7 linked regions of the Macaca mulatta genome follow. The protein of the gene in region 5 interacts with the protein of the main gene of each other region in a pairwise test. Links are inferred from orthologs where the notes say so. Each region holds a gene or a part of one and is shown on either strand. Other genes may lie near its edges.

Region 1 (3,909 bases), on a different chromosome or scaffold from region 5:
AAAATTTTGTCTTTTCCTTCTTGATCTGTAGGAGTTCTCAATATATTCTGCATGAGTCAAATATCTTTTTTCACGGTGCCTTGCTCTTTCCCTCTTAATGTTCTTTTGATGAACATCTGCTAGAATGTTGGTGTTTGCAAAACTGTTTCGCACACGTCATCTTACAAATCCCTCTTCCCACTGACAGATATTCAGGCTGGGGCCATTGGTCTTTATCAGACTGGAAAACTGAAGTTCTGATCTGTGGCACTTGTGTAAGAAGGATCCCCCCTCTACACACACTCATATTACTACTAGTGTGGCACTGGGTGACTAAGCCTAGCAATAGACTTCTTCCATTCCACAATGGCATTAGGTTGGTGATCAAAACGTATTGACGATCAAAGCCACATTTACTAGGTCCCTGCTCATTTTCAGGTCTTGTGTGTGGAGGGACATAAAGGTGACCAAGACCAGAACCTGTCCCCAAACAGCCTCCAGTCTGGTAGAGGCACTTAGGTACTAGGCAATTCCTCTCTCTAAAGCATTCTCTAAGGCCCTGCTTGACGCCAGGCTGACGGAAAGGGCGGAGGACAGAACTGAAACAGAAGTTGCCCTTTACCTTGAGGACCTTACAGACTCTGAAGAGAGACCAAAAATCACGGGCCAGAACCACCCAAGGCAGCGAGCGAAATTCCCCCCAGAACAAAAGTATGAGCCAGGGGTGGGGAGGACAGAGGGACGAGTTCCATTCTAGAACACTGAGCAGGGACTGTGGACCCACATTGCTTTGAGCTCAAATCACGACTTTTAGCCCGGTTTTTACTTCTCTTATAGGTTCGTTGTGAGGGCTAAGTGAATTCATATAAATTAATCCAAGCTTCTGCATGCTTAGATAGTAAGCGCTGTGAACGCCAGCCAGTCTTATTCAAATATGCGGAAGGGAGGGTCATTTTTACTTTAAAAAAATAATAATAAAAGTAAAACCCCTCTGAAGGGAAGCTTTAGGGGAAGACGCGAACAAACCTGCCGCCACCAATCTAAATTAGAGAAGAGGGCGAGGCGGGGCGCCGGGAAGCTGACGGCCATAGCCATGCGCGCGCCCGAGACCCCTTTACGTGCGCGCGCCCGCTACTGGGTCTCGCCGAAGGCGTGACCGTAAAGGAGCCCGGCTCTGTCGTGAAAGGGCCGCAAAAAGGCCGAGGGCGAGTTGACGGCTGCGACTCCATTTCGCAGGTCGCTTTGCTGTGTGTATCCACGGCGATTCTTCCCACGGAGTTCCAAAGCTAAAGGCTTACAATTAAAAGGAAGAAAAAAATTAAAGATAATTCGGGAGTACTATTGACAAAGCGTGTGGGCTCAGCCTCCAGCAATCACTGCTGATCTCCAGTCCCTGGGGGGTTCCGGTAAGAAGAACGCCCCTCCGGTACTGAAGAAGCGGCAGGAGGAGATGCGGCCCCTGGACATAGACGAGGTGGAAGCGCCTGAGGAAGTGGAGGTGCTGGAGCCGGAGGAGGATTTCGAGCAGTTCCTGCTCCCGGTCATCAACGAGATGCGCGAGGACATCGCGTCTCTTATACGCGAGCACGGGCGGGCGTACCTGCGAACCAGGAGCAAGCTGTGGGAGATGGACAATATGCTCATCCAGATCAAAACGCAGGTAGAGGCCTCGGAGGAGAGCGCCCTCAATCACGTGCAGCACCCGAGTGGCGAAGCCGACGAGAGAGTGTCGGAGTTGTGCGAGAAGGCTGAGGAGAAGGCCAAGGAGATTGCGAAGATGGCAGAGATGCTGGTCGAGCTCGTCTGGCGAATAGAGAGAAGCGAGTCTTCTTGAAGGAGGAAATCGGCGGTAAGGTCGGAAACTCGCGGGAGCTTGGATGGAACTCAGTAGTCGCCCTAAGCATGGTTAAACCGCGCCCTGTAAAAAGTTATGTTCTAGGCCTGCATCCCCCATTTTATCGCATCAAAAATTGAGCATTGGGAACAAAGTTGGGGTCAAGAGGAAAGAATGCGTGCTGGTTTTGTTAGGTGTTAGTATACCGTTTTTTTGTGGCCTCTCCCTCCCACACTGGTAATTAGAGAAAAATAAAAGTAACTTCGGGTTTGTTTTTGTGAAACGTAAGTCAGTTCTAATAGGGCAGTCGCCAGGAAGTAGACCTGTCTCGGCACTAAGGGAGTTTGGGGAAAGCCACAGAAGACCTAGGCTGTGGAGCACAATGGAACGCAGGCTGAGAACGCAGGGAAAGAAATAAAAGAGTAAAGCCAGAGGCCATTACCTGAAATTTCCAGACTGTTCTGTGAGACAGGTATGTCAGAGGACCGTGTCTCAAAGAAGTGGCATTCTTCTGGGTGGTTCACATTTATTTTTAACATCAAGATATGGAACTTTGAGAGTCAATGTCTTCATGGTAAATTTCTCCCAATTGTGCTTTAGGTTCACAGCTGAGGACTGTAGTCGACTGGTAAGGATGAACTGACACCTTGAGGAAACTGAAACAGCTTGTCATTTTCTCTGTTTTGTTTTTGTATGTTTTTTACCCCCATGTAACAGTCTCCCTTATGGTCAGTGATTGATGACCTCGATATGGATTTAGATCATCAAATGTGTTTGGTTCTGGAAATACAACTTTTGTCGAAGAAATACTTTCACAAGAGAAATGGGGCTTAATTAAGTTGTTTTCGTGGTCACGTTTACTCTTGTTACTTCGCTGTGTTTTTGAAATGTTGGGCATGGCCTTGTATTTTGCTGTTACCTTTGTGACCTGATCGTTTTTGGGAACACGTCAAGACTTGGGATCAGAATCTTCCAACTTTAGAGGTGCAGTGGAAGATACTACGCTGCCTGGTTGAGCCTGGTGAAGAATGTATTAATGAGACTGCTTTGCATAAAGCTGGGAAGAACGAGAAGACAGTTGGAGATGGAAGGTGGTTTTGTATATATTTTGGAACTTTAGTTCCTCTGTGAGATGAAAGAGGAGAGCTATGTTTTGTGGCACATTGTCTGATATATATTGTGTAACCTGTCAGGTGAGTTGATTTAGACCACATAGCTGACCTTTTATGACAAGGCAGTTTGATTAGGAACTGTCGTAATACCCTCACACATTACAGGGGCATCAGAGAATGGCATCGAAGAGACAGTCTACAAAGAGCTTTAAGAGGCCAGAGAAAGGAAAAGACATTATCAGGGCCTGGAAAGTCTCTTCCAGTTCATCAGGGTAGTAGACCTGTCAGATTGGAGGTCAAAGTCAAACGTATAGTAAGTATTAATTTGCCTTGAAAAACAAAGACCTAAAAAGCCTTTTTTAAAAAATAAATTTTTTGTTCACATGACCAAAGCCCCTCCTGTGTGTGTTAATAAAAGAATCATAAATCAATCTTTTTGAAATGGATGTTCTTCACTGAGTGTCATCAAATGGGGTTGAACTGCTTGTAGTTAAAGGCTCTTGGTCAGCCTTTAACTGAGGGAGAATTATTTCTGGAAGGTGCTGTGGAGATGAGCTGACGGAACACTCAGTTCTGAAGAGAAAAACTTTTCGGCTATCCTCTGGGCCAAGCCCCTGCTTTTCAGCAGCAGAAGTGTGTTTAGTCAACCAGTGGGAATGTAACGTGCTTCATATCTTATCCAAGGCACTAGGAACATAAAGGTGAGACGTGGATGGGACGAAGGTGTGGGACAGAAATGGAAACAAGGAATTGCGATATAGAGTGTGTGGATATCATGTGGGAGCCCTGAGGAGGGAGTCAACTCTTAGTAGGGAAGTGTGTGAATTCAGAGCAGGTGACTTACCTGGGCCTGAAAAGTAGAAATGAATGAAGACATATAAGGCATAAGGATCAAAGTGAGCAAAAGCCTTTTGAGTTCCAGCACTGGGGAGACGGCCAGTGAGCTGGATGTTAAGGAGCATGGAGGGGGTTGTGGGAGACAGA
Region 2 (3,588 bases), on a different chromosome or scaffold from region 5:
CGCATACAATGAAAAAATTGTACATTCAGTGAAATGTAGTGGATTCAATGTGACTGAAGCTTAGAGTAGGTGGCAGAAGAGATCAGTCTCTTCTTAATGCTCCATTTTCCCCTCAAACTTTCATTCCATCATCAAAATGACTCTGGAAGTTTCTGTAGTTTGTCTTCATCTATTAAACTGAGAGCAGTAGCCAAATCTTTTGTCTTCCCAACGCCCAGAAAAGTGTGTGACTCACAGAGGTGCTTAATAACTATTTTCTGAATATTAAGTCTTTATAAAAGACTTCATAAAAGACTGCTTAAATCAGGGCTATATGTACTGTTTCTTACACTTGTTAGTAAGCATCTTAATTCACAAATTATACTTTCTATTTATTTTAAATCCTCTTGATTCCCACCTCTCAATGTTTGCCTTATAGCAGGGACTCAACACTGGTGGAATAATATCTTAAATTTATATAAACAAATTTCAGAGTTCTATGAGCCCAGTTTTCATTGAAATCATGTAAACTCACCTGAAGCAATTGCTCCTTGTGACTCAGACTATGGTTGAGGTGCTGGATGTTTTGTTCCTGGGTTCGAATCTCATTGTATTTTTCAGCCTCCCGGGCACGAAGCTGTTGGCTCTTGTTCTGCAATTCTTCTTGTAGCTGCTGCAAGGCTTTCCGCAATTCCTGAATTAAACATATTAAGAGATCTAAAATTGTCACATGGTTATATATAGAGGCCTTAAAATTTTCAAGGTATATAAACTGAAAGAGCGGTAGAGGATGCCATTATTAAAACTGCTATAGAAGTATTATACATGAATTGAATGGGAAATGGAAAATTGTAAAAGTTGTGAATGGGTAGGACGTAAGCTTGATAATTATAGTTCAATACTTATTTTTTGGCTTAAAAAGGATACATGTGTAGAACCATTAAATGAGAATCTGTCCTATGGTAAACCTAGATTATTTACAGTAAGCTCAAGGATAAACTATTCCTATCATCCTTTTTTCTAAAGATCTCATAGAGACCATCACTCTTCTTTCTTAGCTTGCCATATTTATCTTTCTGATAAGAAAGTCAGTAATCTTTAAATCATCTGTTACTTTAGAGAGCTCCCAAAATACATATTCTCATCAACCAAACAAATCTTGGGAAAATGTTTCCTTTAGCCAAATAACAAAAAGTTAAGAATTATTTCTACCCCCATCCTCCACCACTCCCTGACCCTGCCCAGACATCTGAAATTTTAATTTTTTTTTTGAAATGGAGTCTTACTCTGTCGCCCATGCTGAAGTACAGTGGTACAATCTCGGCTCACTGCAACCTCCGGCTTCCAGATTCAAGCATTTCTCTGCCTCAGTCTCCCGAAGTAGCTGGGATTACAGATGCCCGCCACCACGCCTGGCTAATTTTTGTAATTTTACTAGAGATGGGGTTTCACCATCTTGGTTAGGCTGGTCTTGAACTCCTGACCTCATGATCCACTGGCCTCGGCCTCCCAAAGTACTGGGATTACAGGTGTGAGCCACTGTGCCCAGCCGAAATTTTAATATTTCAAAAGGAAATTCAGGGCTAATATTTAATCTCCAAACCACTAAACCAGGGAGATCCTTCAAAAATTACACTTTTAAACTTGAGTGTTAAAGAGCTTAAGAAAAGAGACCACGAAAAAAAAAATCTTTTAAATCTTAAACATATACGCTCTAAGCTAACAAGATAAAGGAACCATTTAAGAATTGTGCATTTTGGCCCAGCGTGGTGGCTCATGCCTGTAATCTCAGCACTTTGGGAGGCCAAGGTGGGCAGATCACCTGAGGTTGGGAGTTTGAGACCAGCCTGACCAACATGGAGAAACCCTGTCTCTATTAAAAATATAAAATTAGCCAGGCATGGTGGTGCATACCTGTAATCCCAGCTACTGGGAGGCTGAGGCAGGAGAATCGCTTGAACCCGGGAGGTGGAGGTTGTGGTGAGCCAAGATTGCACCATTGCACTCCAGCTTGGGCAACAAGAGTGAAACTCCGTCTCAAAAAAAAAAAAAAAAGGCCGGGCATGGTGGGTCACGCCTGTAATCCCAACACTTTGGGAAGCCGAGGCAGGTGGATCACAAGGTCAGGAGATCACAACCATCCTGGCTAACATGGTGAAATCCCATCTCTACTAAAAATTAAAAAAAAAAATTAGCTGGGTGTGGTGGCAGGTGGCTGTAGTCCCAGCTACTCAGAAGGCGGAGGCAGGAGAATGGCGTGAACCCGGGAGGTGGAGCTTGCAGTGAGCCAAGATAGTACCACTGCACTCCAGCCTGGGTGACAGAGTGAGACTCTGTCTCAAAAAAAAAAAAAAAAGAAAGAAAAGAATTGTATATTTTATTATTCAAAAATAAAAAATAAAAGACAGGGCTGATTATTATGCATGTCATTCCTCTGACCTTAGTGATTCGTCCCCACTTTTCTGACTGGTTTTAACCATCCTTCAAGAATAACCTCAGATGTCTCCTCCTTCATGAAGCTTTCCTTGATTCCTTTTCCTTGACTCCTTTCCTAGATATTCCTGTAGGACTCCATATATACATCCCCTTCAGAATTTACCACTCTGAAACTCAGCTTATGCGACTGTCTCTCTTACTGAACTATAAGTAACTTAAAAGAAAGGAGCCTGTGCTATTCATCCTTGTATTTCCAGGGCACAACTCAATATGGTAATCACCCCTCAACCCACAGGGGATACATTCTAGGACGCCCAGTGGATGCCGGAAACCAGATAGCACTGAAGCCTGTATATAACTGTTTTTTCCTGTACATAGATAACTATGATAAAGGTTTACTTACAAATTAGACATACTAACAGATTAAGAATAACAATAAAATAGAAGAATTACAACAACATGCTGTAACAAAAGTTACGTAAGGGAGGCCAAGGCAGGCAGATCACGAGGTCAGGAGATCGAGACCATCCTGACTAACATGATGAAAACCCGTCTCTACTAAAAATACAAAAACAAAATTAGCCGGGCGTGGTGGCAGGCGCCCGTAGTCCCAGCTACTCGGGAGGCTGAAGTGGGAGAATGGCATGAACCCAGGAGGCGGAGCTTGCAGTGAGCAGAGATCACATCACTGCACTCCAGCCTGGGAGACAGAGTGAGATTCTGTCTCAAAAAAAAAAGTTATGTGAATGTGGTCTCTCTTGAAATATCTTAATGCTTTTTGTCTGTGGTTGACCCCAGATAACTGAAACCATGGAAGGTGAAACTGTGGATAAAGGGGGACTACTCTAACTAGCATATGGTACAAGGGCAGCAAGTGTCGAACTGAAATACTTAGATTATGCAAGTGATTCAAGGGTTCAACACAAACTATCCTGCTAAAAAGTTATTATCAGGGCAAAGTCAGCATTTAGGGCAATAAAATAGTTAATGATTTACCTGGTTATGTTTCCAAGAAGCCTCTTTCTGCTGTTCACTCTCGTGTGCTGCAGCCTCTACAAACTGCACACATTGTTTGGCATCAGCCAGTTGGCGCTCTTTCTGTCGTACCACCCTCTGGAGCTTCTGTATTTCCAGCTGGCTGCAGAATAAAGCACTCTGAAGATCAAGCAGAGC
Region 3 (3,588 bases), on a different chromosome or scaffold from region 5:
TAAGGGTTTGAGATTATCTTAGATTGTCAAGTTACTTAAAAGATGCTATTCCAAGGCTGGGCACGGTAGCTCACACCTGTAATCCCAGCACTTTGGGAGGCCAAGGCAGGTGGATCACTTGAGCCCAGGAGTTTGAGACTGGTCTGGGCAACATGGTGCAACCTTGTCTCTCTCTCTCTATACACACACACACACACACACACACACAAATTAGCTGGGCGTGGTGGTGTGTGCCTATAGTCACATACACACAGAAAAGATGCTATTCCAAACAGGGAAGGTAAATAAGTTTTAAAAGTCTTTAATTTCACCCCTCCATGAATTCTGGATAATATTTATTTTTATTTTTATTGTTTAGAGACAGGGTCTCACTGCATTGCTCAGACTGGACTTAAACTCCTGGGCTCAAGTGATCCTCCCACATCAGCCTCCCAAGTCGCTGGGACTACAGGCGTGTGCCACCACGCCCGGCCATTCTGGATGATACTTTGTAAACTTTTAAAACAAATACCTCTGGAGGTCTTCAGGTCCTAATACCTGCATAATCTGCTCATTCACATCTTCATTAATCAGCCTACAGAGTTTTCCAACAGTGCTTACCAGCACACACAATGAAGATGAACTATCTGCAAAAGAGAAATAAAAGGCTATTTTAACAGAGAATTTTCAAAATTACATACATCAAACATTTTATGCTTCAGTTATCCTCAATTTTTTTCACTTAAAAATTTTTTTATCGGCCAGGTGCGGTGGCTCACGCCTGTAATCCCAGCACTTTGCGAGGCTGAGATGGGTGGATCACCTGAGGTCGGGAGTTCAAGACCAGCCTGACCAACACGGAGAAACCCCGTCTCTACTAAAAATACAAAATTAGCCAGGCATGGTGGCATGTGCCTGTAATCCTAGCTACTCGGGAGGCTGAGGCAGGAGAATCGCTTGAACCCGGGAGGCGGAGGTTGCGGTGAGCCGAGATTATGCCATTGCACTCCAGCCTGGGCAAAAAGAGTGAAACTCCGTATCAAAAAAAAAAAAAAAAAAAAAAAAAAAAAATTATCTACTTTTTGTTAATTTACTAAAAATTCTTAAATGGGGGCCAAAAATGACAAACTAGGTCATCACCTAATTCTAAGAGTTCTTGGAGGTTTCTCACAGCATTGTTCATTTCTCCAAGCCTAGTATAAACTTCATTCATTCGGGGATAGACTCCATTTAAAGAAGGCACATCAAATAACTTTTGGAAGTGAGAGACAATAGCTTGCAAAGTTTGAAAGTTTGGCATATTGCTGTCCTGTCCAAAAGAGAGGTAAAAAATAAAGAGTTCATATCTTAAAATAATCCCAAATAAAAACTTTTAAAAGACAAACAGAACTCTAGTAGAACAAATATTAATATCCACATCAAATTATCAATTTTTGAGATAAGAGAACATTAGAATGTGACCATTTATGTAAGTATTACCTTTTCCTTATTTTCAACTTCTTCCAACATAGTATCTACTATAAACAACAAATCTTCAACTTTGATACCTTCATTTTCATCCTGCTTCTTCAAATTATGCCAAGGTACCAGTTCTGCAGATAGTGTTTTCAAGGACTTATACAAATCCTTTATAACAAAAGAAACTATATGGTATTATTGATTTAAATAATTTCAATAGTAACATAATAGAACATAACAAAATTATAAGTTTTATATATGTTTTATAAAATTAATAAAAAATTACACAGGTTAAATTATATATATATAACCATCAGTATTGTTTAATAAAAACACTATTACCAATTTAGAACAAGTCAGTTAAAATTAGGTTTCTCCAGGTAAACACAGGCTTTACAGAAAACATTATACACTGATTATTCTGAATCTGGGTGCTCTAAGTAATTTTATGTTATTTATTATTGTTCCATATTATTTCATTATTTTGAATTATTGATACACAAAGAATAAACTTGCCTTTGTATTTTGGTTTTGAGTATGTTATATAACAGCTTTATTGAGATGTAATTCATATACCATAAAATTTACCCTCATTAAGTATACAATTCAGTAGTTTTAATATTTTCACACATGTACAAACATCAGCACTATCTAATTTCAGAACATATCCATTACTCCAAAAAGAAATCTCAGACCCAGTCACAGTCCCTCCTTCCCCATTTTCCCTTCCCTGCAGTTCCTAGGGTTGATCTCTAAACTACATTATATTTCTAAGGATTTGCCTATTCTGGGCATTTTGCATAAATGGAATTATACAATAAGTAGTCTTTGATGAATGGCTTCTCTCACTTAGCATAATGTTTTTGAGATTTATCCATGTTATAACATGTATCTCTAGGCAAGTTTTCAATGTGAAAGGTTCCCCAAATTTATTCTACATTATAATACTCAGTTTTCTTGGCCTAGTTGTGGTGCCCTAATTGATTTTAAACTGTGCACAATGGGCAAGGCTACTGAAAGTTTAGAGCTCTAAACTGATCAACTGACAAATATTTACTGAACATCTACTACAGGTTGAGAATCCCTAATCTAAAAATCTGAAATGCTCTAAAATCTGAAACTTTGAGCAACAACATGACACTCAAAAGAAATGCTCATTCGAGCGTTTTGAATTTCGGATTTTTGGATCAGGGATGCTCAAATGGCATATATTCTGCAAATACTCCAAAGTCTGAAAAAATTCTTAAAACACTTCTAGGCCCAAGCATTGTGGATAAGGGATACTCAATCCATATGTGTATGGCACAGTGCTTGGTCCTTCAGAACAATGCTGTTCAAAAGAAATGTAATGTGAGCCACAGGAATTTTAAGTTGTCTAGGGCCATAGTATGGAAAGTGAAAAGAAACATGTGATATTAACTGTAATAGTATATTTTATTTAACCCAATATATCCAAAATATTATCATTTCAATATAAAAGCAATATTTTAATTTTTTCCATACAAAGTCTTTTAAATCCAGTGTATATTTTACACTTATAACGCATCTCAATCAGGACTAGCCACCTTTCAAGTGATCAATAACCACATGCAGCTAGAGGCTACCATACTAGATAGCATAGCTCTAGAGAACAGAAAGAAGTACAAGAAGTTCCTTCTTTTTCTAACTTATTTTAGTACTTCACTTGGCATTCTCCACTTAAGGCTCAGACTTCACATATTGGTATCTTTAACCTTTCAATTGGTAGGAAGGCAGTTACTATTATAGTAATTCATAGCAATAAATTTCATGTTAAATGAATGTTTTACCATCAGTGCCACTAGAATTTGAAAAAAAAAAAAAGTCAGCAAATAACAGCATAATGATATCTTTATTAACCAATGCTCCAGCAACAAGGCACATTTATAAAGTAATCTATGGTAAAAAGCACACCCAATCTAATACATTTTTGCTTCAGAATAAAAGAGTATTACAAAGCTAAGAAGAAAAGATGTTCTGGTCTCCTAAGCAGTGACAGGATGGTTGTAGCACAGTCTATCAAGTAAGCTCTGAAAAATATAAGAGTCTCCTAGGTTCTTTACATTGCCCAGTTGTGGAGATGTAGAAGTACTACCATGGGCCAGCCTACCGTGTATGTCTGGCCTCTGAAGC
Region 4 (4,134 bases), on a different chromosome or scaffold from region 5:
GATCTATTTGAAGAATACAGTAATTTGGCATTCTTTCTTCCTTTGACCTGGCTTATATTATATTCACTTATTTAAACATGGAAGCCTATTTAATGCATACTCATCTAATTTCATACGAATTATAGCAAGTGAAATTTCAATGGGTCTCCTGAGATACTGGGTGCATCTTATTAAGAGAATCAGACTCTTCTAATTAAAAATGGTCATTTCTCTAGACAATCTCCTCTAGTCAAAGACTCCATTTCTTCACCAGTGTATCCATGAAAATCTGCAATTCACTTAAAGAGGACATTTTACTTTCATAACTCATTGAAAATATGTCACAGATTTTGGGACAGTCAACTTACAGACCATATCATGATGACATTCTCTTACCTCCTGCAAAAACTTTTCACTCATTTGACCGAAAGGATGTCCTGGGGGCTTGATTCCAGACACCATCAATCCTGAACTGAAGACCCTTGGCTTCTGCAGGTCCGGCTTGAATTTCTCATAGAGGTTGGCAGACGGCTTCAGGTCACCACTCACAGCCTTCTCTTCATGGGGAAGAGGCATGGTACATGTGGGCGGGGCGTATGGAAGCCCCACTGGAAGCAGCGAGGCGTCCACCTGGCCCAGGGCCTGGGGACTCCTCCTGATGTAGGTGATGATCTTGGGCCTCACATGCTTGGGCTTGGGCATAATGACGGGCTTGGTTTCTGTCCTCTCCTCTGTTTTTTCAACCTGATGGTTCTCCGTTCCCTCCTGCGAGGAAGGTGTGTCCTTGGAATGTGTGAAGACAGGCTTGGGGATCCCACTGGGGCAGGCGTTCTTGTCAGGCACTTTGGGGGATGTGTTCGACAAGCGTGCACTATCAGCAGGGGGTGGTACCGCCAAGGGGGACACTGCATCCATACCGAACACGCTAACATCCTGAAAACGGCTACTGGGTGTTGTAGGCTGGTGGGTCATGTTCACAGTTGTCTCTGGGAGGAGGGGTGCTGGAATATTGAGAACTGAATCTACTCTTGCTGAGGTGCGTTCAATCTTATCTGCATTCTCTAGAAGGTTCCTGCTTTCAGCAACAGACGTGGTGATCTCTCTGCTTTCCCGTGCTTCTGAGCTGCCACTTTGAGGTTCCAGGGGCTCAGGCACCTCTGTCTGGCTCTCTCCAACGGAAGGATTGAACACCAGAACTGTAACACTGTCCTTGTCCACTGTGGGTTGCTCACTGCCCAACTGCCTTTCCTCCTCAATGACATCCAAGGGTTTGCTGTCAGTCAGATTAGTAGGAATAAAAGCCACATGACCATCACCTGGTGAAAAGCTGCCGGATGTCCTTTCACCCAACTTCCCACCTGCACATGGTGAAATGTTGCCAGTGGGCTGACTATCAGCCCCTCCTAAGGAAGCAGAGGCCTGTTTGGGGGTGGCGTGGAGAGAATCCGGCTTCCCTGGGTTGACTCCTCTCTTCTCTTCACTGTTGCCTCTTCCCACCCCAAGGTGGTGGAGGTCACTGTTTGGCAGAGAGCCAAGTGCATCGGTGGTTTCTGGGTGCGCCTCCCCACACAGATCCTTTCCCTCCAAGGCTGAAAGATTCTCTTCCCTGTGGCATCCCAGATACCCTTCCTGGGCTGCCTTTCCCTCCTGTTCAACCCTCCTGGGTGAAACATATTTCAGCTCCAGCTTGGCCTCTGCCTTTCCTTGACCTAACTGTGCTTCTGGCTTACTCGGGATTTCCCTCGATGTCAAAGTCAGATTCAGAGCAGGCTCTGGATGGGCGGAACGTGGTATGTGCTCACTGCACACCCGCAGTACATGTGCTCCCACTGTCTGGGTCTCTGAGGGGGTGCTCTGCTTGGTCTCTGAGGTAGATGGTTTAGGATGACGCACACTCTTTCCCTCTGAGGTACTGTCAGTTGGAGGGAACGCTGCCGGGAGAGCGCAGTCTGGCAATGTCTTCTGTGGCCCCTCCCCACCCCCAGGCACCTGACCCCGTGCTTCCTGGGAGTCAAGGGGTGCAGGCTGTGGATGCTGCGGAGTCAGGCTCCCGACTACAGCTACAGAGCTGCTTGCTCTTTCCAAAGAATGCCTCCTCAGTTCCTCATTGTTGAGGGTCTTTGCCAATTTATCCTTGGGAACGTGCCGGGGAATTTCAGCATCCCTTTTAGCCAAAACGTCTAGACTGGCCTCACCCATCACATTTCTCCAACTCGACAGACTCGGTCCCTGGATACTCCGCGGGGTCTGCGGGCTATCTGCGCCTCTCTCCATTGTGTGCTCCTCATTGAGTTCCCTCTGAATGGTTGAAGAAAGTCTAAAATCTTTCAGGCTGGTGGAGCCAGGCTGAGATCCCTTCTCAAAGCTCTGAAGTTGGTGAAATTCCTTATGGAAATGGGTACGGTTTTCTGGCTCACTTGAATTTGTATTTCCAATTTCATCTTCCAGGTCACATGTCTTGGACTCATCATGAGAGGAGCTGACCTCCAACGTGATTTGATTGGCATTTGTATCTCCCAGACTTAGGATGCTCTCATTATTATTTCTTGCTGCATTTCTGTTGTCCCGCAGCTGAGTGTAACATGATTTCTTAGGAGCCACTGGGACGCTCATTGTCAACCCTTTGGTGGGGCTGCTTGCCATGCAGTCCTACTTAATGGAAATGGGCTGCCTTCAAGCTGCAATCAGATTAATAGGAAATTCTCAGGCTGCTTGTCCTCCCCTGACAATGTCAGCTTGTGACACTGCTTTAATCATTCTCAGAAGAGCTTGAAAAGCAAGCATTCTCTTGATATACAGCAGGAACTAGGTTCCGGCTGAATGAGAGCCAATTAGTCCGTGAGACCTAGAGAGAAATAAAAATACATTCACATTAGATGGACAAATAGAACTTCTCAGGAGGAAAAAAGTGGTAAACACAGATTTATTCGTCATTTCTATACTATTATTTCATTCACTCGATAGTTTTCTCAAAAACCTTTCTGATCAGGGCTCCTGCTGACCAAATACGGACAGAAATTAAACATCAGAATGTTTAATGTTAGAAATGGATTATAAATGCATGTGAAATCTTAAATCCAAATTTTAAACATCCACAAGTCTATACTGATACTGATTTAAAAGGGTGAAGGAGAAGTAAAGGCTCTTCTTTACAGAAGAGCATCAACGAATGTAGAAAAAAATTTACAGAATTTGAAAAATCACTATTTTGCAATCTCTGCATTAATAATTATCTTGCACAAGGGATGCCAAAGGTACAAACATTGGGTAAAAGATTGTTGGGGAACAAGATATTTATAGATGCTTAAAGTATCTTTCCCCCAGCTACTTTATTTCTTACAAAAAGAAAATTTGATCTTTACAATGGAGAGATCTGGTAGACACCACATTAACCACGTGATCAAATTTAACATCACTGGTATCGAAACTGACATGACGGACTCCTGATATTAGTTAGTTCTCAGGGCCACACATCACCTATGCAGTAATGTTCAACCAGAATTTAACCATGAGAAAATAACCTGGCGAATTTAAATTGAGGTATGTATTACAAAATAACTGGCCTAACTGGTCCCAAAAAAAAAGTCAGCAGAGGCTGGATTTTCAAAATATGTTAGCAAAGGATATTATTAGGACAATGAGAGATGTAAATATGGACTGTATATAAGGTACAGGTATGTCATAATTAATTTCCTTGGGTGTATAATCGTGCTATAATTATGCCAGAGATCATCTTTGTTCTTGAAATATCCATGCTTTAGAATTCAGGGGTAGTATGTCATGATTTCTCTAACTTATTCTCAAATGATTCAACCAAGAAAAACATGTGTATGTATGTGTGTGTGCATATGAGAAGGAGACATATGTGTGCAAAAGAGAGAAAGAAACTGGCAAAAGTCAACCATTTGAATATCTAGTTAAGAATTTTACTACATCTGCAGCTTTTCTATAAGTTTGAAATTTTCCAAAATAAAAACTTGGGGGAAACGCTTCATTCCGGCCTTCGCGGCCTGCATGATCAGGCCCTGAACACCTTTCTGGCCTCATCCCCACCTCACCATCTGCTCTGCAGGCTGCTGCCACATTGGCCTCATTCCTCACAGTACCATGTTCATTACTCCCTGCCTCAGGGCCTTTCCACATACTTTTCCATCT
Region 5 (4,096 bases):
GCGGGTGGATCACCTGAGGTCAGGAGTTCGAGGCCAGGTTGGCCAACATGGCAAAACCCCCATCTCTACTAAAAATACAAAAAAAAAATATTAGCTGGGCGTGGTGGCAGGCGCCTGTAATCCCACCTACTTACGAGGCTGAGGCAGGAGAATCACTTGAACCCAGGAGGTGGAGGAGTCGAGATCACAGCATTGCACTCCAGCCTAGGCAATGGAGCGAGACTCTGTCTCAAAAAAAAAAAAAAAAAAAAAAAAAAAAAAAGTACTATGAAAAAAGATAGGGCAGAAATATTGGAAGTATGGAGATGGAGTAGAGTGCTGCAATCGTAAATGGAGTAGATAGGCCTCTCTGAGAAAGTAACCCTACAAGTGTATGAGAACAAACTATCCCAGAGAGAAGGAACAACCAGGCCAAACGCTCTAATTTCCCATGTTTAAGGCACAACGAAGCCTGTATAGGTGGAGTGGAATGCGCAGAGGAAAGCAGTGGAAGAAGTCAGACTGGTAAAGGAGGCAGATCATAAAGCGCATTGTAGACCACTGTAATCCCCTACCTGTGGAGTGCTTTGTAGAGAGTATGAGATATGGCAGGGTGCAGTAGCTCACACCTGTAATCTCAGCACTTTGGGAGGCCAAGGAAGAGAGGATCACTTGAGCCCAGGAGTTTGAAACCAACCTGGGCACCACTGTGAGACCTCATCTCTACAAATAATTAAAGAATTAGTGGCTGGGTGAGGTGGCTCACATCTGTAACCCCAGCATTTTGGGAGGCTGAGGTGGGCGGATCACTTGAGGTCAAGAGTTCAAGACCAGCCTGGCCAATATGGTGAAACCCCATCTCTACTGAAAATACAAAAATCAGCTGGATGTGATGGCTCATGCCTGTAATCTTCGCTACTAAGGAGGCTGAGGCAGAAGAACTGCTTGGTCCTAGGTGGCAGAGGTTGCAGTGAGTTGAGATCGTGCCACTGCACTACAGCCTGGGCCGTCTCAAAAAAGAACAACAACAACAAAAAAAAGAATTAGTTGGACATGCTGGCACACACCTGTGGTCCCAGCTATGTGGGAGGCTGAGGTGGGAAAGATAGCTGGAGCCCAGGAGATTGAGGCTGTAGTGAGCTATGATTGTGCCACTGCACTCTAGCCTGGGTGACAGAGTGAGAGACTCTATCTCAAAAAAAAAAAAAAGAAAAAGAAAAAAAGGAGAATATGAGATACTAACGAGGAGGCTACTGTGATAATCCAGGTGAGAGATTGTGGTGGCTTCAACAGGATGGTGTTCCAAAGCGGTGAAAAGTGGTCTGATTTTGAATATACTTTGAAGGCAGAGTCATCAGAATTTTCTTACAGATCAGATGTGGGGAGGGAGAGACAGAGAGAGGAGATGGGGCGGGGGAGAGAGGGAGAGACGGGGAGAGAGAAATACAGGAGTCTAAAGTTTGTCTTGAGCAAATGAAAGAATACGCTACTGACGGGGAAGACAATGGTGAGAGAAGCAGGTTTGGAGAGGTCAAGATTTCTGTTTTGTACATGTTAAATTTGAGCTGTCAGATTTTAAATTGGAGTTGCCAAATAGGCAGTTGAATATAAGAATATGGATTTCATGGAAGAGGTCAGGGCTAGACTATAAAGTTAGGAGTAGTCACCCAAGAGATGGTATTTAAACCACGAAACTTGCCAGCACCAGAGAATATTTGAAGAGGTCAGAGGACTGAGGATAAGAGGTTGCAATAGGAGTCAGTCAAGGATACTGAGAAGTGAGGTGGCAGTAAAACAGGAGTGTTGATGTCTTAAAACCCAAGTAAGGATACTGTGGCCAGGAGGCCACTATTCAATTGCGTCAAATATTGCTTTAGATGAGATCTGGAAAACGGATGAAGCATCTCAGAGGTCAACACTCCCTCCCTAGCGAGAAAATATCAAACGTCTTTCATCTCTCTCCCTCTTTGGCTGCTAAACAATGTGTTTTCTGCTCATAACACTTCCCATTCGTTTTTCAGTTCTCAACTTAAAAGGTCCTGCTGCAATCGGAGAAGCTTCTCAAGACCAATGCTATTGTTACCAGGGAAGCGACACTTTATCATAGAAAAATATTATTCTAAGAGTCTACTTAATTGACTCTCTACTGGGCTTGACTGTAAGGTCCTTAAGTCAGACGTGCCTATGTTGTTTACTTCTGTACCCAAACATTCGATAGAACTCCGAGCATAGTACAAAGCTCGTAGTGGGTATCCCATATATATTTACAAAACCAATGGATAAATGCTAGGGTGGAGCGAGCGATTACTGTTGGCCTAACTTAGGGGATGTGTAGAAGGGAGTGCCTAAAACTAGGAGTGGACGCGGAGGGCTCTGAACAGGGTTCAGTTTCCCATTCCATTACTTTTGCAAGTGTAATACGGACCCTTTGTTGACTCGAAGCAATTCCCCTGCCAGACACTTTTTAGCTGTCCACCCCGCCCCACTACTGGCCACTGTCTTCCTCGGATCTCATCCCAGACACTCACCCAGCCGCGTGGTGCGTTCCCGCGACGCCGCGGGCTTGTCCCCAGTCCCATGCTCGGCCTCGAGCTCCTCCTGTTGCTGCCGTGCTTGCTGCAAAATCCGCCGGCTCAGCCGGGGTCCCACATACTCTTCCTCCGTTTCTCCGGTCCTGCGACCCCGCCGCTTCTCCCGGACCCCTGCCCGCACCGCATTCCCAGCCAGGATCTGATCGGCCAGGGGCGCATGTTTTTCCTGACCCCCGACCCCACGGGCCGCCTTCAACTTGGGCATTTTTCTCGAAAACGTTGCCGCGGAGGTTCGCACGTGGGGACGGCGAAAAAGCCAGATTGCGCTTGCGCGGTGGACTCCCGGCTCTCAAGAGGCCACGCGGCGATCACAGCGCCCCCTAGCATTCGGAGGCCAGAAGCACCATCAGCGCCGCCCCTCCCACTAAAAGAGCTCCCGGGTTCCGGAGCTGGACTCCCCAATATATTCACAGCCTTTAACGTTAGCTTCTCTCAACAGTGCAGTCTTTGAGTGTCGCTCTTAGCTTCATGGGTCTAGGCCTAGAGTGCTCAGCCAAACGAGAATGTCTGGATTTAGAAACCTGTGGGCGGGAATCCGCAGATGATGTCACTGGAGGTGTCACCGAGTGGCCCTGAGACCCGCCCCACTCCTTGGGGAAGGCGTGGACCCGGCGCTCTGTTTTTACGTATTTCCGGAGTCTCTTCCGAGACCGAAGGTTGTGTTGGGGAACTGAAGCAGTTTCTGTGGGCGGATAGGGAACCCTGCGTTTCTACCGTGTGATCCGGCCGCCTTCCTGGCCCGACGCCATGGGAGTGACTTGGTAGGACTGCAGGGGGTTTTGTGGGGCGGAGCTTGGAGTTGTGAAGGGCCGAAAAGAGGACCTTGACCGTGGTCCGCCGTCCCCTGGGAGCTGTCCTCGGGTTGTGTGGATGAGAGGATGCCGTGCGAGCCGCGGGTTCCCCGGCCTTGTTTCCTCGGAGATGCGCCCCTTCCTCTTGGAAGGCGGGAAAGCAAAGCGAAGTTTTTTTTTTTTTTTTTTTTTCTTTAAGACGGAGTCTCGCTCTGTCGCCAGGCTGGAGTGCAGTGGTGCGATCTTGGCTCACTGCACCCTCCGCCTCTTGGGTTCAAGCGATTCTCCTGCCTCAGCCTTCCGAGTAGCTGGGACTACAGGCGCCCACCACCACGCCCGGCTATTTTTTGTATTTTTAGTAGAAATGGGATTTCACCATATTGGCCAGGCTGGTGTCGACAAAGCAAAGTTTTTTTTTGTTTTTTTTTTTGTTTGTTTGTTTGTTTTTGAGACGGAGTCTCGCTCTGTCACCCAGGCTGGAGTGCAGTGGCCGGATCTCAGCTCACTGCAAGCTCCGCCTCCCGGGTTCACGCCATTCTCTTGCCTCAGCCTCCCGAGTAGCTGGGACTACAGGCGCCTGCCACCTCGCCCGGGTAAGTTTTTTGTATTTTTAGTAGAGACGGGGTTTCACTGTGTTAGCCAGGATGGTCTCGATCTCCTGACCTCGTGATCCGCCCGTCTCGGCCTCCCAAAGTGCTGGGATTACAGGCTTGAGCCACCGCGCCCGGCCGACAA
Region 6 (4,325 bases), on a different chromosome or scaffold from region 5:
GACAGAGAAATTGATGCAATCTGCACCATATATGGAGGTAAACTGAGGAAGCTATGTGATCCAGAAATAACTTTCCAGGGATCAGCTCAGGCCAGCCACAGCCTGATGGCCCATGTGCCAAGAGGGGTCAACAACTGGGTATGTCTGCAACCCACTCATCATTTACTAGTGCTCTGTGGTCCATCCATTGAGAAGCTAATTAATTTCATAATATCAGATCGTTTCTCAGAATGATCACCCTAGAAACGAGCCGTCAAGTAGGTTTGCAGCAAACCATACTTCATATGGTGCACACTATACTTCTCTCAGGGAGTCAAAACACGTATTAGTAAATGAACATATTAAGGCTCTGAGAAGACCTATTTCCCATTGTTTGTTTTTTTTTTTTCTCCAGTATTTTCCAACCTCTTTTAACCAGGGCACCTAATAACATCTTGCAGATCTAAGGAGGCTGCTGAATCGTTCAACCCTCCATGCAAGCACACAGTACTGTGACTCGAAAAGGGTCAATGCAACAATATAGGTCCTAACTGTCTTTAATTGGAGGATTAGTTCAGACACTGGAAAAACTTTAATCTTTAAGAAGGAATCCTCCTGGAACTTTGTTAACACTAAACTGTTAAATACCATAAACAATATTATTACCCCCAAACAGGCTGCTGAGGAGCCAGGGATGAGTAGATTCTAGCCGTGAGACTCCCAGTCATCTGCAATAATTCATATGCCACTGGCAAGGATAATTCTAAACATGAGATCTAAAAACCCTATGCATACACCGCCCCCTTGCCCTCCCTACCCCAGGAGACTTATCTGTCTTTCTGGTTATATATTCCCTTGGCTGTTAGTGTAATTAGTGCATAATAACTATGTACATATCAACTCACAGGAAAAACGGCAGACGTGCTGGCTGATTTGGCTTGGGGCCATCTCATCGGCAGGGTGAGACAACCTGGTATTAAACCATCTGTTATTAACTGTATATTCTAAAATAGTGTTTTGTGTCTCCTGGGTTGCTGACTCCCATTGACAGCAACAGAATGTCAAGACTCATATTTTTCTGAGCAGCACTGAGGAGATAAACTTTAAAACATTTGCATTGTCCCTTCTGTTCTGCTGCTTGTGCTATTAAGAATTTTATTTACTAAAATGTCCATTGTATTATACACGGTGCTTTTCTATGTTTCATTCTCACGGAGGTGAACAAGTTTCATTTAAACTGTGTCCTTGCGAAAGTTATGCTTTCTAGAGTCAAAGATCCTAGAGAAAATTGGCCATAGCTTTTGTCCCTATGACTAGGCAGTTGCCAATGCCTGTATGAAATCAATAGTCTCACTAGGAAATGGACTATCACTTGCATTTTTTAAAAAGGTGGTCATTTTCTCAAATCTGCTTGTTTGCACTGATTACTTTTCTTTAAATTAACTTAAGTAATTAATTTCATAATATCAGAAATCTGAAATTGAGTCTTTGTGCCACTTGTTGCAGTCAGTAGCACAAACCTGCTCCCCAAACTCAGGATTAAGTTTGTATATGACAGAAAACAACAGCATTCCTTTGAAAGATGAGCAGTCAAATCATTCAACACAATTATCCAAGTTAATTCAACTCAAAAAACCACATCACCACGAAAAAATAAAAATAAAAATTTTTACCTGATTCCAAATCACTTTTGACAGCTACAAAAAATTGACTTTCTTTGCAAAAGTTTTACCTCTGCCCCAGAACTCAGTTGAAACAATTTTTTTCCTTTCCCAGTTGTCTCTTATAGTTGGCTGTTCCCAAATATAACTAAAATTTCCCTGCAAGTCTGTTAAACAATTTCACATTTCCATGTTTAATTACATTCAGATTGAGATTTTTGTACACATAGAGAATATAGCCAGATTTTGACTCAAGTGACCACAATACCTTTGACATAAAGCCTTTATACACCATTCTCGCCATATATAAAAATAGACATACGCTCCTTGTCAAAACACAAGAGCGAGCTTCTTTACATTGTCTAGAACAAAGAGGCCAGCTCGGCTTCTATTTTTCCTAAGTGTCTCAGAAGGTGTCCTTTATTACATATGCAGGACGCAAGGATTTTGCTGCTGTGTGAATGAAAAATGATACCTTCAGACTGCCTTTTTAGTGACAAATTAGGCTTTTGTAGACCATCACACTGCCTGTGGTTTTAAGAACCCCATTTAGATTTACTATCACTTCCTTGGGGACTCAGCCTTCCTCACAAAGCACCCCAAGGCTAATTTCCACTGTTTTAGAGTGTAACAAAGATGAGAAAGTTTGCTCATCACGATAGTATAGAAACGCTTGCCTAGGAAAAACACTCTCTGGAATGTCTAAAGTGCTAAAAATCATTCCCTCTGTGGATTCTTGGTGTGCAAAACAGGCAGAAAAAGTTGTCTGGAGGTATTCGCAAAGCATTGTATTTGTTCAGGAAGGAGTTGTGGGGTTAGAGGCTGAGCAACGCCTTTTACTTTGCTTCCTGGGTGAGAGCAGACAGGCGTGCCACTTAGCAGAAGCAAGCAGAGAGAGAGTGGTAAGACTCACCGGCTTCCCCATTTTTCCCAGGACAGGGGTTTTTGTTCCTCAGTTGTGATCTGGAAGAGACAAACCTGTAGGTCCTCCAAGCAGGCTGGTCTGGGGCAAGTGCCGGCTCTTTGCCTCGGATCAGCTGAATGGCTGGGGCGTTCAGGAAGCTTGCTCTGTCCAGCTCAGAATCACTCCCCCTCTCCAGGGTGTGTGCTTACACGCCTCTCAGTCAGCGCGAAAATCCGCCAAACTCAGGTCAGTCTAACAGGTTTCCTTATATAGGTAAACATGAATTGCATTCCTGGTGAAAGAAGTTAACTAGGAATCCTGGTAACCTGGTTAACTCTACACACGCCAGAATGGCTCAGAGTCGGTCAGCCTGCGTAGGGGTTTGGTTGCAGTACAAAAGGATTTATGCAATTTAATTAAAATCATCTTTATCCTGGCAGTCTGTAAAATTGGCCCTTGTAGTGTAACTGTGAGTCAACAGCTAGTATTTTATATCATGGGCTGTGACCAGCCTTATATTATCTGAAGGCATTGTAGGGGAAAAAAGTGTAGCATTTTATAAGTTGTCTTTCATGTTTTTAAAACCAGAGTAATTGAACTTGAGATTATTTTCAAAGAAGTAAATAGAACATGTGACAGAAAGAGAATGTGAATAAACCTCCATCAAGTAAGGCTCAAATGCCTTATTTGAGCATAGTAACGAACACTTATTCAACTTTCCCAGGCCTTTGGTAGATAATGCAAAACAATCATTTTGAGTTTTCTCCCTTTACAATGCAGTAATCACTACTGTATTTTTTGATGGGCAAAATGATAGATAATGACATCTATTCCAGTAACAACCCTCCTAAGCCCGCATGCTGATGTGTTATTTGATGGTTTCAGGAAAGAAATCTAAGACTTGTGAATTTGCATACTTGGATGTAAACATTTTTAAACAACTTCCTCGATTTAAGAAGACAAGAAAATATATCTTTAAAAGAACTCTATAGCTCTTCCCCTTACATTTTATCTACCACCTAGTAAAGTAATAATTTTAAAAAATTCTAGCCAATTCCACTGAAGACAATATAGAGACTTGAGACTTTCCTATGTACTAGAGATGAAGATTGTCTGCTAAAAAGGACCTATCTCAAAACAAAACACTTGTTTTTGTTTCATCCATGGGTTGACTGCTCGTTGAGTAGTGGCAACATTATTAAAAATAGCTCAAGGCTGTTTTAGGTCTCTGCTTAAGACAAGCGAGAAAATGAATCTTCAGATGCCACCTAAGTGAGCACCAACACAAACCAATGTCAAAGAGCTTCTGCTGAGATGAGTAAGGAACAAAAATTGCACTGCCAGGAAGGATAACTATTTTTGGATAGCAATTTCCACTGGGCAAAGACTTTTGCATACAATTTCTCTTCTTATCTCTGTAGGAACACTGTGAAGTGTGTAGTATTTCCTCTTCACAATAATAAATTTGGCTTACAGAGATAAAGTGATTGGTCCAAAGTCTCATGATCAGTTTTTGGCAAATCCAAAACCCCAGATAAAGAATTTAACTCCAATAGCATTTCCCAAAATAGAATCAACTTTAAGAGACAGAAGAACATTAAAATGGCAATTTTCCATGTTCAAATATAATTTTTAATAATCATATGTCCAGAGAATTTAAATGCAATATACAAACTTATTAAAATACTTTTTATAAAGTCATAACTTACTGCTAACATGACTCCCTTTAAATGTCTCCAGAAAGATCATAAAATGAGATAGAGAGTGTATTTTTATTGAAT
Region 7 (4,193 bases), on a different chromosome or scaffold from region 5:
TCCGCCTCCCGGGTTCCCGCCATTCTCCTGCCTCAGCCTCCCGAGTAGCTGGGACTACAGGCGCCCACCACCTTGCCTGGCTACTTTTTTGTATTTTTAGTAGAGACGGGGTTTCACTGTGTTAGCCAGTATGGTCTCAATCTCCTGACCTCGTGATCCGCCCGCCTCGGCCTCCCAAAGTGCTGGGATTACAGGCTTGAGCCACCGCGCCCGGCTGCTTTGCCTGAATTTCTAAGTGGGTTCTCTGTATACGCCTTGTTGTACCACAATTATATGTATAAGCAGTTACAGGTGCTTTGGGGAATGAGTTAGGGAATAAAACTCCCAAACAAAACACAAACATCTCTGGGTAGCATTTGATTCCTATCCCCAGACCAAAGCAAAAATGCGGACCCAACAAAGCCAGATTGCAATCCTCGAGTCCCAAGACGCAGAGGCCCTTGCCATGGGAGCCCAACCCTCTCCTCCAGGAAGAGCCAACGCATTAAAAATAAATGGGGTTTTTATTGTGTGTCCACGAAAACAAAGGGTGGCCTTTGGTTAATCCCCCCCAACAAGATGACAAAAAGGAGGCATGCATGACAACAAGAACCATGTTCTCCTCTGACTGAGCGAGGCCTTGCCCTCCTGGACCCTAAGGGTTACAGGCAAGCAGGGCCAGGAGGCTGCCGAGGAAAGCACACTCAGGCCCCCATGGAGGGCCTGAATCTGCTGCCTCCCTGGTGGGACAAGGCAGGGGGAGCAAGCACTACTCTGGGCTAGGCCCAGCGCCCCCCAAGCAAGAACACATAAAAGCCCCTGCCCCTGCCCCTGCCCCCACCCCCACCCCCACCCCCACTGCTAAGGCAGTCAGCCAGGACTTCCCCAGAAGACCTGGCTCTGAAGCCCAGACCCTCATGGCTCCCTCTGGAAAGGGTTGCCTTCCTCAGCCTGCATGAAGTAGTAAATGAAAAAGAGGACGATCACAAAGACCAGGAAAAGCAGCAGCTGGCCCCAGAGTGGGACCTGGTGATCCTGGCCCAGCCCAGCCCCAGGAGCATGGTTTTCAGGCCGGATGGCACGGCGGGTGAGCCATGAAGAGGAAGATGATGAGGAGGACATAGAAGAGGTGGAGGAGGAAGTAGGATAATAGGACAGGTCCAGGGAGCTCCTGGAGGCTGAAACAGGGCGGTAGTGCGCGATGCTCTGGTAGGCACTGTCCCGGCCGTACATGGGGCGTTCCCTGAGGCAAAAGAGGGGAACAGGTGGGCCAGGAGCCTGGGTCCAGAACCAGCCCCTGTCCCTGGCCTTCCCCATACATACATACCTATCCTTGCACTCCTCTTCAGAAGACGACAAAAGGTCGTCATCACGTACCTGTAGAAGAGAGTCAAGGTGAGGGAACTGGCTGGCAGGGCCACAATGGCCCTGCCACGTCCCTCTCAAATTTCCCCAGCAGGTCCCCTCTGACCTTTGGTTAAAGGCCAGGGACCCACACCCTCCTGAATGACTCTGGGTGTTCGGCCTTTTATCCATGGGGCCTTGCTACTTGTGCTCATGCCCCAGCACCCCCCTTTGCCCCCAGGACTCTCAGGAAGAGCTGGAGCCTAGATCCCAGACCAGGGTGCAGGACGCATCCTATGTGCTCTAGTCACATAGTTCTGAGGGCTCCCCAAAGTAGGACCCTGACCAAACAGGTGTCTGCTGAGCCAAAGTCTCCCCAGAGGCCCAAGGGCCACCATTTGTACCCAGTGGCCCCCTGGATTTATCCAAACACAGCCGCGATCCCCTAGGTTGTACCCAAGTACAGTACGCCTGCCAACCAGCTCACCTGGTGGTGGAAAGTGTCAGCATCTGGGAGTGAAGTCACAGACTGGCGGAAGCCCCTGGACGGGCCCGCAGACTCGGGCTCCCCATAAGTCCTGGTAGTGAAGTAGCTCTCTTCATAGTAGTCGTCATTGTAGCCTTGGGAAGGGGGGCAGCGGTAGCAGAGGGGGCATCGGTGTGCCCCGCCTGGCCCGATGGCCCTAATCTGAATCCCATTTCGGGACCTGTGACAGTTTCTCCCTCCTAAGGCTGCTGGAGTGGTTGGGACTGAGGTCTCAGGTCCTCCCTGTGAGCGGGGTCCCTGACGCAGTCGGGTGAAGGTGCCAGCGTGCCCACCCAACCCCTGCCTTACCCTTGCTCTGGTAGAGTAAGGCGTCCTCTTTCTTGGGAAGATCATACATATCTGAATCCCCTGACGTCGAATTCAAGTCTGGATTGAAAGGAGGAGACAGAACTGTTTGCCCCCCCACCCCCACCCCCACCCCAAGACTTCCCTCCCCTTTCCCCAGTGCCGCTCTCGACCGGCACCCCTGCCACACCCTCGCTACCTCATCCTCCCCGCGTCCCAGGCCGTCCCCACAGGCGAGGCTCTCACCAGAGAAGCGATAAGAGGAGGCAGCGGACGAGCCGGGGGGCGAGAGCCGCCGCCTCTGGGTCTCATACTCGAAGATCTTCTGCTCGTAAAGCCTACGAGTTGATCCTGGCCGGACACGGGGCGGTCAGGGCCGCGGTCCGGGGAAGGGGCGCGGGGAGGGCAGCGGGGAGGTCGCGGGGCGGAGCACGAGGAGGGGGCCCGGAAGGGGTCCCGCCCGCCGCCGCGTACCTACTACAGGCCCGTGCGGGATGTTGTACCGGCGCAGCAAGGCGGTCAGCTCGGTATTTGAAAGATCTGCGTAGTCGTCCATGGCGGGTGCGGGCTCGGGCGGAGGCCTGGCGGCGGCCCGGGCCTACCAAAACCGGCCGAGCAACGGCTGCCTAGGAGCACGGCGGGGGCGGCACGAGTGCATCGGGAGCGGCCGCACTCGCGTCACAGCCGAATCGCTGTCGCGTCACGGCCGCTGGCTTCGCAGGCTGCGCGCGCTGCGCTGGGCGGGACCTAACGGCGGGAGTAGCCGGCACAGACCGGCCGGGCCTTGAGAGCTGGGAGGCTGGGGCCGCGAGCCCAAACGTCATCAACTCACGGATTGGCTAGCGGCAGAGGGGGCGGGCCCCCGGGAGTCAGGGTGGTGGGAACCGGTCTCGCGGTGGGAGCGGGCGGGGCCGCAAGCCCATATGTCACAAACACGGGAATTGGCTAGTGATGGAGGGGGCGGGGCCCGCGCAGGCGCGGAGCAAAAGGTCTTGCGTTGGGAGCGAGCGGAGCGGAGAGCCCTTACGTCACAAACATGGGGATTGGCTAGCGATGGAGGAGGCGGGGCCCGCGCGGGCGCGGGGCAGAAGGTCTCGCGGTGGGAGCAAGCCGCGCCGCGAGGGGCGCCACACGTCACTAACGCACGGATTGGCTAGCGGCGTAGGCGGCGGGGCCCGCGCGGGAGTCAGGGCAATGCAAACTGGTATCGCAGTGGGAGTAGGCGGGGCTGCGGGCCCAAAAGTCACAAACGCATAGATTGGCTAGCGGCAGGGGGCGGGGCCCGCGCGGGAGTCAGGGCGACACGGCTGGGAGCCAAGACGTCACCCTGTGGCGCGCTTGAGCCAGCCGGGTGAGAGGGATGGGGCCTGCGCGCTAGGGACCCGGGACGTGCGAGCGGGCGAAGTCGGCGCTTGGGGTGGCTCTGGTCCCTAAGTCACTTGGACTTCGCCCGGTCCCTGCACATCCCTGCTCCCCGCCGTCGCCCCCCTTTCCTGGGCCCCAGAGCCTAGGGTTTCCCGGCCGCATCCCGGTCGGCCGCCCCGGCAGCGGACCCTAAGAGAGCGCGGGCCCGGGGCCAGGCACTGCCGGGGGCGCTTTGTGTGCGCATTGCTCGGGAAGCGGCTGCGGGGCAAGGCCCGCGCCTATGGGATCTCCGCAGACCCCCTGCCACGGGCCCTTCTTCCCAGTCTGCAGGGCTCTCGCCCGCGCACATGTGCCTGCTGCTTCCCACCGCCTACCTCTCTGCTTCCCTTCCTCCTCCCTCACTCTACCCGGGAGGAAATGGGGCACTGGGCCAGGAGGCCGCTGGCACTCCAGAAGCAAGCAGCCTTCGAAGGGGCCCGGGCATGCCGACGGGCACGCCAGTGGGCGCGGGCAGAGGGCGCCGTGCGATGCGTACAGAGACAACGTGTGCCCGCCTAATCCTTCATGCCGTTCATTCACCCGGGGCACTGGGGGGAGCTGCAGCGGGGCGTCCTCTCCTGTCGGAATAGTCCCTGAGGGCAGCGTGTCTAGGCAGGGGGCAGACGTCGGTGAT

Evidence for each region.
Region 1: the proteins of BYSL (region 5) and MRFAP1L1 interact in binary tests that used the Homo sapiens proteins (3 or more experiments, as listed by UniProt). The two-hybrid records come from large-scale screens. The link is inferred for Macaca mulatta from reciprocal best matches to the Homo sapiens genes BYSL and MRFAP1L1.
Region 2: the proteins of BYSL (region 5) and myomegalin interact in binary tests that used the Homo sapiens proteins (3 or more experiments, as listed by UniProt). The two-hybrid records come from large-scale screens. The link is inferred for Macaca mulatta from reciprocal best matches to the Homo sapiens genes BYSL and PDE4DIP.
Region 3: the proteins of BYSL (region 5) and CEP70 interact in binary tests that used the Homo sapiens proteins (3 or more experiments, as listed by UniProt). The link is inferred for Macaca mulatta from reciprocal best matches to the Homo sapiens genes BYSL and CEP70.
Region 4: the proteins of BYSL (region 5) and MTUS2 interact in binary tests that used the Homo sapiens proteins (3 or more experiments, as listed by UniProt). The two-hybrid records come from large-scale screens. The link is inferred for Macaca mulatta from reciprocal best matches to the Homo sapiens genes BYSL and MTUS2.
Region 6: the proteins of BYSL (region 5) and MID1 interact in binary tests that used the Homo sapiens proteins (3 or more experiments, as listed by UniProt). The two-hybrid records come from large-scale screens. The link is inferred for Macaca mulatta from reciprocal best matches to the Homo sapiens genes BYSL and MID1.
Region 7: the proteins of BYSL (region 5) and EMD interact in binary tests that used the Homo sapiens proteins (3 or more experiments, as listed by UniProt). The two-hybrid records come from large-scale screens. The link is inferred for Macaca mulatta from reciprocal best matches to the Homo sapiens genes BYSL and EMD.

Annotation. Positions count from the first base shown.
Region 1 is NC_133410.1:6,327,562-6,331,470, forward strand, and holds MRFAP1L1 (MORF4 family-associated protein 1-like 1), read left to right. Parts: upstream 1-1,179; 5' UTR 1,180-1,429; coding exon 1,430-1,813; 3' UTR 1,814-3,364; downstream 3,365-3,909.
Region 2 is NC_133406.1:119,938,490-119,942,077, forward strand, and holds part of myomegalin, read right to left. Parts: coding exon 3,412-3,588; intron 674-3,411; coding exon 515-673; intron 1-514. UniProt on the Homo sapiens protein: Functions as an anchor sequestering components of the cAMP-dependent pathway to Golgi and/or centrosomes.
Region 3 is NC_133407.1:41,502,760-41,506,347, forward strand, and holds part of CEP70 (centrosomal protein of 70 kDa), read right to left. Parts: intron 1,606-3,588; coding exon 1,459-1,605; intron 1,289-1,458; coding exon 1,120-1,288; intron 627-1,119; coding exon 512-626; intron 1-511.
Region 4 is NC_133422.1:8,971,990-8,976,123, reverse strand, and holds the start of MTUS2 (microtubule-associated tumor suppressor candidate 2), read right to left. Parts: upstream 2,825-4,134; 5' UTR 2,623-2,824; coding exon 376-2,622; intron 1-375. UniProt on the Homo sapiens protein: Binds microtubules. Together with MAPRE1 may target the microtubule depolymerase KIF2C to the plus-end of microtubules. May regulate the dynamics of microtubules at their growing distal tip.
Region 5 is NC_133409.1:140,250,682-140,254,777, forward strand, and holds the start of BYSL (bystin), read right to left. Parts: upstream 2,840-4,096; 5' UTR 2,776-2,839; coding exon 2,508-2,775; intron 1-2,507. Other genes in the region: MED20 (mediator of RNA polymerase II transcription subunit 20), read left to right, coding at 3,318-3,331. UniProt on the Homo sapiens protein: Required for processing of 20S pre-rRNA precursor and biogenesis of 40S ribosomal subunits. May be required for trophinin-dependent regulation of cell adhesion during implantation of human embryos.
Region 6 is NC_133426.1:10,388,076-10,392,400, forward strand, and holds the start of MID1 (E3 ubiquitin-protein ligase Midline-1), read right to left. Parts: upstream 2,883-4,325; 5' UTR 2,554-2,882; intron 1-2,553. UniProt on the Homo sapiens protein: Has E3 ubiquitin ligase activity towards IGBP1, promoting its monoubiquitination, which results in deprotection of the catalytic subunit of protein phosphatase PP2A, and its subsequent degradation by polyubiquitination.
Region 7 is NC_133426.1:160,532,509-160,536,701, forward strand, and holds EMD (emerin), read right to left. Parts: upstream 2,810-4,193; 5' UTR 2,712-2,809; coding exon 2,630-2,711; intron 2,507-2,629; coding exon 2,402-2,506; intron 2,237-2,401; coding exon 2,159-2,236; intron 1,945-2,158; coding exon 1,811-1,944; intron 1,357-1,810; coding exon 1,307-1,356; intron 1,223-1,306; coding exon 895-1,222; 3' UTR 488-894; downstream 1-487. UniProt on the Homo sapiens protein: Stabilizes and promotes the formation of a nuclear actin cortical network. Stimulates actin polymerization in vitro by binding and stabilizing the pointed end of growing filaments. Inhibits beta-catenin activity by preventing its accumulation in the nucleus.